Solanum lycopersicum: one gene and its partner. The protein of the gene in region 2 binds, or shares a complex with, the protein of the main gene of each other region. Links are inferred from orthologs where the notes say so. Each region holds a gene or a part of one and is shown on either strand. Other genes may lie near its edges.

Evidence for each region. The genes of interacting proteins can lie anywhere in the genome.
Region 1: MSI1 (region 2) and VIN3 share a complex: the UniProt entries of both Arabidopsis thaliana proteins name them as parts of the plant homeodomain / polycomb repressive complex. The link is inferred for Solanum lycopersicum from reciprocal best matches to the Arabidopsis thaliana genes MSI1 and VEL1.

What each region holds. Positions count from the first base shown.
Region 1 is NC_090806.1:12,273,306-12,277,631, reverse strand, and holds part of VIN3 (vernalization insensitive 3), read right to left. Parts: intron 1,162-4,326; coding exon 842-1,161; intron 649-841; coding exon 1-648. UniProt on the Arabidopsis thaliana protein: Maybe involved in both the vernalization and photoperiod pathways by regulating gene expression. Binds preferentially to dimethylated histone H3 'Lys-9' (H3K9me2).
Region 2 is NC_090800.1:88,997,388-89,002,303, reverse strand, and holds the start of MSI1 (WD-40 repeat-containing protein MSI1), read left to right. Parts: upstream 1-1,671; 5' UTR 1,672-1,813; coding exon 1,814-2,158; intron 2,159-3,360; coding exon 3,361-3,687; intron 3,688-4,126; coding exon 4,127-4,279; intron 4,280-4,802; coding exon 4,803-4,916. UniProt on the Arabidopsis thaliana protein: Core histone-binding subunit that may target chromatin assembly factors, chromatin remodeling factors and histone deacetylases to their histone substrates in a manner that is regulated by nucleosomal DNA.

The sequences.
Region 1 (4,326 bases), on a different chromosome or scaffold from region 2:
ATTGCTTGTTCTCAAGATTTATAGCATCAGTATTTGGCAAGGAGGTTACTTTGACAATGCTATCTTCCTCATCACCTAAAGATACCATTACTTCTTCATTTCCTATATGACTTTTACTAGCAAAGGCGACCGTGGTGCAGCACAAGTCTGTAGAAATTGCTTTATCAGTGTTATCACAACAAGAAAGACAATTATCCCCTCTGTTCTCAGCCTCATTGCTGCATAGCACGATGTTATTAGTTTCATCCTCCACTGAAGAAGGATTAGAAAGGTTGCTGCAATTTGTTGGTGGACTTTGACTTCTTTCAACTTCTAAACTTTTCATGTTCAGATTAGATAGTTCATTTTCAGCTTTACTGGAGCAGAATTGAACTTCAAACATTCCCAGTTCTTTCTTGCTATCAAGGGAAACAATCTTGAGAACATAATCTGTAGCTGGCATCAGATCTGAGAGCACAAACCTAGTGTTTGGGGAAAACAATGTTCGAGTTGGTTCTACTGGATATTCCGTTTCAACAGCTTTCCGATGCCACAAGGAGTAACCAACAACATTCTCCATAGATGACCCTTCAGAACTCAAAACAACGGTCACAGATGAGGGAAAGACATCCTCAAATCTGACAAGCTTTGATTCTATCACCTCGCAATCTAAAAAATATAGCCCATGTAAATGCTGATTACTTCACTTGACTTAAATCAAATGAGTACCAAGCTTAGACAAAGAAACCAATGAAGGCATCACAATAACACATGAAGAGAAAGGTAAATCTACAGAATCAATAAAAATAAGGAGAGTATCTATGTACTGCACAAACAAACCACAAATTAGAATGAGTATTACCTTTGACCTTAGCATTAGATGGCATTTCAGACACTCTCTCAGAGAGAAGGGCATCTATGTACTCAACAGCCAAGCCACAAAGTTGCTGAACAGCAGGGCCAAATGAGAGCCTGTTCACTATACCTCTAGCCATCTTCACAGGCAAACCAGTCAAAGGGCCAACATCTGCTTCAAGCTTGTTCACTGCTTCATCTAGAACTTCATACAGCTTTGGGCAATTTTCGGCACCAAAAGAAAGTTTTTGGCTCAATGAAAGCCTATAACATAATATGTCTACACGCCTGGTATCTCTTGCTACAATCAGTTGTTTTTTCAAGGAACTGCAAGAATTGGAGAAATAGAACATCTTTAATCCTAATAAAAATAGCTTGCTTTTTAATTATAGAGGTCTGTATCTCACAGTAAATAAAAGAGGTGATGTACATGTCATTAGTTCTTTGACATTTTTCCTTTATGGATTCTACAACCATCTCACTAAACTATGTTTCATATTAATAAATAATGTTTTTATAACATCATCCAACCAAGTGCATACAAATGATTAACATGTTATTCACTAAAATATAGTGGCCTAAAACCAAATTATTTAAATTTTAGTTAATAACATGTTAGTCATTTGTCTGCACTTGGATGATGTTATAAAAACTTTATTTATTAATATGAATATTTGAGTTGTTTGATTTGAACTTCTAAAATGTTTCTAGTGAAAGGTAGATTGTTTTTTTTCTCTTCATTTTTAAAGCTATAATTTTTTTCTTATATTATTTTTTTGTACAATCTTCAAAATATTGTTTTTTCAAGGAACTGCAAGAATCAGAGAAATAGAACATCTTTAGTCCTAAATAATAAACATAGCTTGCATTTTAATTATAGAGGTATGTATCCCACAGGCCACAGTAAATAAAAGAGCTTATGTACATGTCGTTAGTTCTTTGACATTTTTCCTTTATTGATTCAACAACCATCTCACTAAACTAGTCAGCTGCATCCTGACAATAGTGGAAATAGTTCACTATAATTCAATAATGCAATTGAAAATTAAGTTCACAACAGCAGTACACCTTAGTCCCAAACAAGTTGGGGTTTGTTATATGAATCCTCATTGATCATGTTATCCATTTAAACTCACAACATGCCAATATTTTGCAAATACAAATAAAAAGTAATAAAAGTTCTCCATAATTTTTTGAACCTACAAATCTCTGAAATGCTAAACCACTACTATAAAGTATAGGGCAGTAAAAGTGCTAACATGCCTAAAACAAATTTTCAACTAATACTCTAATAAGCATTGACTACAACAATAACAGAACTCCTGTAGTCCCACAAGTGAGGTGTGAGGAGAGTAGGACGTATGTAGACCTTGCCCCTACATTTGTGGGGCAGAGAGGTGGTTCCGATAAACCCTCGCCTCAAAAGAACAGGCAACGAATATCTAGATTTTTATCCACTGTGCCCCACTTCGCTATGTCTGCATGGGTTCCCAAGGATTTTAGGTCCTTAGATGCATTTTCCTCCTCTTTTAACACTTACCTTCACAATGGTTGCACACCTATAGACCGGTGTATTACACTGCAGATTGACACATGATGAACAAATTATTTCAAGAAGCTTTCGGACATTTTCCCCTCGACGTGTGCTACTTAAACATTCTAGTAATATAATCATTTCTAATCTTGTCAAATTTAGTATGACCACAAATTCATCTTAGCATCTGTATTTCTTCAAAATTCTTCTTGTAAATGTGTTTAACTTTCACGACCCAAGAATCACTCTCATAAAGCATTGTTGGTTTTATAACTATTCTAAAAAACTTACCTTTCACTTTGGTAGGCATCTCTCTACCACATAACAACCAGAAACACTATTTTGTTTCAACTATTCAATTCTGATTCTATTTGTAACATCTTCATCTATAATTTCATTCACCCAGTAAATTGCCTGCATGGAAAAAAAAAAACACAATTTCCTATCTTCTTAACCTTGTTCTTTTATCGCTTGAAGCTAATGACGTTTGAGTTAGCAATAACATGAAAATGTACCCCCTTCATCTTTGGGTGCAAGAATTCATCTCATTCAAGAACTTGCTTGGACAGCGTTACAATCTGTCTTCTCCGGTGAAATTTTGCCGCCACACTAACCACTCATCGGCCATCTTCTTCACCGGCGCCAAAACTCCCTGTGACTATTTCTCTCTCACTTTCTTGGACCCTGACTCTAGGGTTTTCTTTCACCACCGCAGCTCGTCCATCACTGCCACTGCTCTGGAAAGCACATCTACTCCAGCAACTCTAGAGTTTTCTTTCTCCATAATTCTGGGTTGGGTCTCAAGTTACAAGGGCAGCAGCAGAACACGGACCGCTTACCTCCCCAGTGCCCGGATGAAGTACCTCCTATCTCCTCTTCAAGTTACAGGTTCTATCTTCCCAAATTATTCCAGTTTCACATCAGTTTGCCTTCAGTTTCTGGTTTTCAGATTTGTTTCATTGCTATATGCATATCTAGAGTTACATTTCAGATCTAGTTTTCAGATTGGTTCCCTATATTGTCTTCAGATCTATCTTTCTTGTATCATTGTTAATTGTGTAATATTGCATATCTCTATCCCTTCTTCACTTTGCTCTTGATTTAACTCTGCCCTCGGACTCTTCGTTTCTTGATCCATAGTGCCATATATTTCATAGTTCTTGTGGTTTCTCTGGTGTTAGTATTTTGGGTATACCCATATTCTAGAGCTAGTTGCTTCAGTTCATTCTGTATAATATTTCTTGCTTTTCTTCTGTTCTTATTATAGTTAATTAGTCCTAGTCTCTCTGCTTGATTCAATAGTTTTAGTAGATTCTTATTTCTCTTGCATCTTGTTTAATTTACATCTCCTTTGGTGGCTTTGGTGTGGTCGAATAGGATCATGTCCAGGGGGCAAGGGGAAGGGATGGGACATGAGTTAAGTGACCTCATCTTGTATCATGTTGGTTAGACCCTCGTCTTGTATTATGTTGGATAGCTCATCCGTAGCTAGCATAAACAAGTATGGGTTCAATGACAATCCCTGGTGTAAATCCATGATTACAAGATCTCCTTCGCATTCCCTACTACAGTTCTCAGGCTAGTGAAGACTCTTTCATACATGTCTTTTATGACTTTTATATAGTTAACAGGTCCTTTCTTCTCCGACACGACGACACCCACCAAAGAACCTTTCTTTGTACTCTATCATATAATTTTTCTAGGCCAATGAACACCATGTGCAAATTTTGTCTACGATAAACTTCCATCAATCTCCTACACAAAAATGTAGTCTCAGATGTAGATCTACAGGGCATGCACCCAAACTGGTTATCTATTACTCTTGTGGTGTTTCCAAGTCTATGCTCTTATCATTCTTTCTCATAATTTCATCATATGACTCATACATTAAATGCCACAATAGTTCGCAAAACATTGAATATCACCTTTATTTTAATAAAAATTGGAATCAAGGTACT
Region 2 (4,916 bases):
CGATAAGGGTATAATCAACCAATAACACAAAGTTGAGGGTATTTTGGCCCTTTTTCCTTAAATTAATATTTAATAACTGGAATAGTAGATTTTATGACTATCTCGTAGAGTTAGAAAAATTGCTTTTGAAAGATTATCAACTCAAGTGTAGTAATTTATTTTTTTTGAATAAAAGAAGATGAAAAAAATCATGAAGATTATTTAGCAACTAATAAGGGAATCAATGTAAAACCTACAAGAGAAGGAATAAGAAGTTAAGAATCGTATGATAATCGAAACGTAATAAACAACAAACAATGATAGATATCAAAAGCAAAAACTATATTATTACAAATAATACGACAACAAACATCAACATCCATTGTTTGTTAACCTTTTACCCCATTGAGTGTCCTCCACGCCCTCATGTTTAAGATAGTATTCTTGGTAATTAGAAGTTATTTTGTGTCGTGACTGATTAGCTCTCTGAATACTTCTTCTGCCTATTCTACTGCTTCTCGAATCTACTATAACTAACCTCTCATATCTCCTCAGTGCAGCATATGCACATCTCTTATTCATACGTTTAGATCATCTCAGAGTTACTTTCTTCCTATCACAAGAGGTTACTCTGTCCTTATCTTGGATATTCTTATTCATAATTTTATTGCTCTTGGTATATAGGTCCACTCTGAACATACAATTAAGGTATAATATATTTTCATTTTCATTTTTAGTAGATTACCAAATAAATTTTATGATATATTTATCTTACAATAACATATTTAACGTATTTTTACAGAATATTAAAAGGTAAATATGTATACAAATTCTACTCATATTAAATAAAATAAAGTTTTGTTTTTATACTCTCCACTCAATTATCAAACCTTACTAATCATAATAAAAAGGGAAACATTCAAAATAAAGGAATCAAGAAAAAATATTAAAGCAAACAAGAAAATTCATACTAAAAACACAAGCATCTATGACAAAGTAATATGATAATCCAAGTGCAATATATAACAAAAAAAAATAGAATTACAAGAAATTTCTCGATAATATTGTGACTCGTTTGGTTTGAATTCATATTTGATGGAATTAATTATGATGAAATAAGTTATGCTAAGAATATTTTTTATTGACTATTTGGTTTGTTGTATTCAAAATAATAAATCTTCTAAACAACATATATGTGTACGAGAACACCCTTCATGAATGTGAGAAGTAATATATAAAAAGTGTTTAAAGGGATATTTTTGTCAATTAGTCATTTTGTCCATGGATAAGTTATTTCAGAATTATTATACCATTCAAGAAAAGAAATAACTTATATCGGTACTAATTATTAATTGTAGGATCCTTTAATACTAGAAATTTTTTAAAATTAAATAAGGACATATTAGGAAAAAAAATTATTGTCCTTTCTTGATTTGTTAAAATAGACAAGTAAATAGGAATAGATATAAAAGAATATGTGGTCACATGAATAAGTAAATAGTGATAGAGGGAGTAGTTAACAAAGTAAAAATAGTTTATATTTAATGGGGCTAGAGGATAAATTTGGCGGCTATTTATGTAAAGATACCTGCACATCCAACCGATTCGTAATTCGGGTCACACAGCCCAATGTCGTCGCAATATAAAACCCTTTTAGCTTTGCACATATCCCGCAAAAAAAAAGAAAAAAAGAAAAAGAAAATTCACTGAAAAATACCGTTCCCTCCAATTCTCTACAAACCCTCGTAAAAATCCCCAAACTCCACAAAACCCAAACCCTCACGCACTCAAAACAGAAGAAGAAAAATCTTAAGGCAATTCTTGAAATTGTTTAATGGGGAAAGACGAAGATGAGATGCGGGGTGAAATTGAGGAGAGGCTGATAAACGAGGAGTACAAGATTTGGAAGAAGAATACTCCTTTTCTTTACGATCTGGTTATTACTCACGCGCTTGAATGGCCTTCGCTCACCGTCGAATGGTTACCGGACCGGGAAGAGCCGTCGGGAAAGGATTATTCCGTTCAGAAGATGATTTTGGGGACTCATACATCGGAAAATGAGCCTAACTATCTCATGCTTGCTCAGGTTCAGCTGCCTCTTGAGGATGCTGAGAATGATGCCCGCCACTATGATGATGATCGGTCTGAATTTGGCGGATTTGGTTGTGCCAATGGCAAGGTTTGAATCTATTCTGTTTTATGCCTTGTTTGGCTGTTTTATATGGGTTTTCATTTTCTGGATGTTTTATTTTACTACATTTTTCTGGCTAATTTCAGTGTTAACGTCTGAGATTTACTTGTTTTGTACTAGAGTTTAGTTGTTCTAGGGCAGCCTGTTTAAGAATCTCTTGAATTTTGATAGCTTTGGGATTATGTTATATAGTAAATGGTTTAAAGTTTATTAACAACACTATAACAAGTAACCAGTGTAGTCCCAGAGGGTAGTGTGTACACAGACTTACTCCTACCTTGTGGAGTTCGAGAGGTTGTTTACAATAGACCGTTGGCTCAAAGTTTTCTCCTTTGCAGCGTAGGTACTAGGGAGTTGTGAATTGGAAGTTGTCAGTTCATTCATGGATTTTGCTCAAGGTACAGTTAATATTTCATCAAAAATTCACCAAAGGGGAAAAAAGGGGGCCTAGCATAATTAGTGCACCATTTTCTGACCCACCACCACACCAAATAAGGGCACCTAATAGGTCAATCCCTTTGGGCAGAGTGAACTCTTTGACTGACATTTTCTTATTGAAATTTTATGCGTTGTTGTAGTTTTTATTATTCCTCTGCTTCTTTCTCTGTCCTGATATTGTTGAAAGGTTCTCTTCATAAAGGGCACTTGAGGCTTTTATATCATATATGAATAATGATGCTTGGACCCCAAATCAGTAGTGATTTGCTGGTAGCTTAGGTGAAATGGGTTGTAACAAAGCCAATGCTTCCTGATTCGGCTAGCGTTCTAAAACTAATGGTTTAGTTGCTCCACTCATTTGAATGTGAAGATGATTGGAAGCAACATTGCTGCAGGAGAAAACTGATGAAGTTTTGAATAGTCAGCTAGAACTTTAAAAAGCTTATGAGAATACCACTTATGACTATCACCTTTTAGTGTAGATTGATGTCACAGATATCAAAGGTACTATCCACATAGAGTCAGTGATAAATTGATAATGAATTCTTCTATTTATGATGAGGGCATGGAACTGTAAAATCTTATTCTCTAAAAAGGTTTTAAAAATGGTCTGTCAGTTCCAATTATCACTTGAAGGCCTTACTCTGATATCTTTTTGCTGTACTATTATTTCCCATAATATCAGAGTGAATTTCTTGTCTCTGTTTCAACATTGAGTGGCTTATGTATAATGATAAATATTTCTCTTTCAGGTACAAATAATCCAGCAAATAAATCACGATGGAGAGGTTAATCGGGCTCGATATATGCCCCAAAACCCATTTATCATTGCAACTAAGACAGTTAGTGCTGAAGTATATGTTTTTGACTACAGTAAACATCCATCTAAGCCTCCTCTAGATGGTGCATGCAATCCAGATTTGAGGTTAAGAGGCCACAGTACAGAGGGGTATGGTTTGTCTTGGAGTCAATTTAAGCAGGGTCATCTATTGAGTGGTTCAGATGACTCACATATATGTTTATGGGACATTAATGCCACTCCCAAAAATAAGGCTCTAGAGGCTATGCAGATATTTAAGGTTTGCCTCGTGTTTTTTTTTCTGACGAGTCTGCAGAGGATAGATATTGCCATGTTACACTGCATAGATTATCAATTTGTTGCACCCACTTACTACTTGTAGTTTTATCTTGTGCAAATAACCATAATTGATAATTGGAGAAGAACTTGTATGCTTTCCCTTCCAGCAAACACCCCCAGGCACCTCGAAGTAAAAAAAGATCAAGCGAAGCAGAATAGCATGAGTTCTCTTTATTAATATCATGTTACAAAGTTAAACTGTAACTTCAATAGTGTCCCAACTTTTGTCTCAAAGGATATTTTTGGTATCATCTTCTCTACTATTTGCTGTCTGAAGCTTCAGTCTACCTAGCATGGACAAGAATCTTGTCTCTCGTATTATTTTCTCATTAAGCTTTTGTCAGCTGTTGTTGGTTTATTCTAATATTTAAAATGTGTAGGTTCATGAAGGTGTTGTTGAGGATGTAGCTTGGCATCTGAGGCATGAGTATTTATTTGGCTCTGTTGGGGATGATCAGTATTTGCACGTATGGGATCTGCGAACTCCATCAGTGACCAAGCCTATACAATCTGTAGTTGCACATCAAAGTGAGGTGCGGCTTAGACTTCTTAGCTGGACTTTTCCACGTTTATGTAGTTAATAATGCTTCCCTTTTGACTGGTGTAAGAACCACTCAGATATGTCTTCTTAACATTGTTGGCAGTCTTTTGATTTTCTTGCACAGAAATGTGAGGATCTTGTGCTTACAAAATAATTATAGTTTTTCTTGAAACTAGAATTAGTGTTTCCCAATTTTTACCTGTACTTTTTTTTCTTTTCATTTTCGTGGGTTTACATTATTGGATGTGCAAACAAGTGATTGCTGTGTGTGTAAACTATAATGTGATGCTCATGTCTGGATGAATTTCTGTTTCGTTTTAAATGGTTTAAGGAGAAGATCCTGCCTTCCATACTCTCTGCTGATTATTAAATGTACAATATCATAGAAGGATGATCATTACTGCACATGGCCTATTATGAAAAACATTTCTGAATGCAGTTATCTAGATTTTTTGTGAACAAGCAGTCTTGTGTTGATGATTGTACATGATTGACCTCCTTTCTCTTTTGATCAGGTTAACTGCTTAGCTTTCAACCCCTTTAATGAATGGGTTGTAGCAACGGGGTCTACAGACAAGACAGTTAAATTATTTGATCTACGCAAGATTTCTACTGCACTTCATACTTTG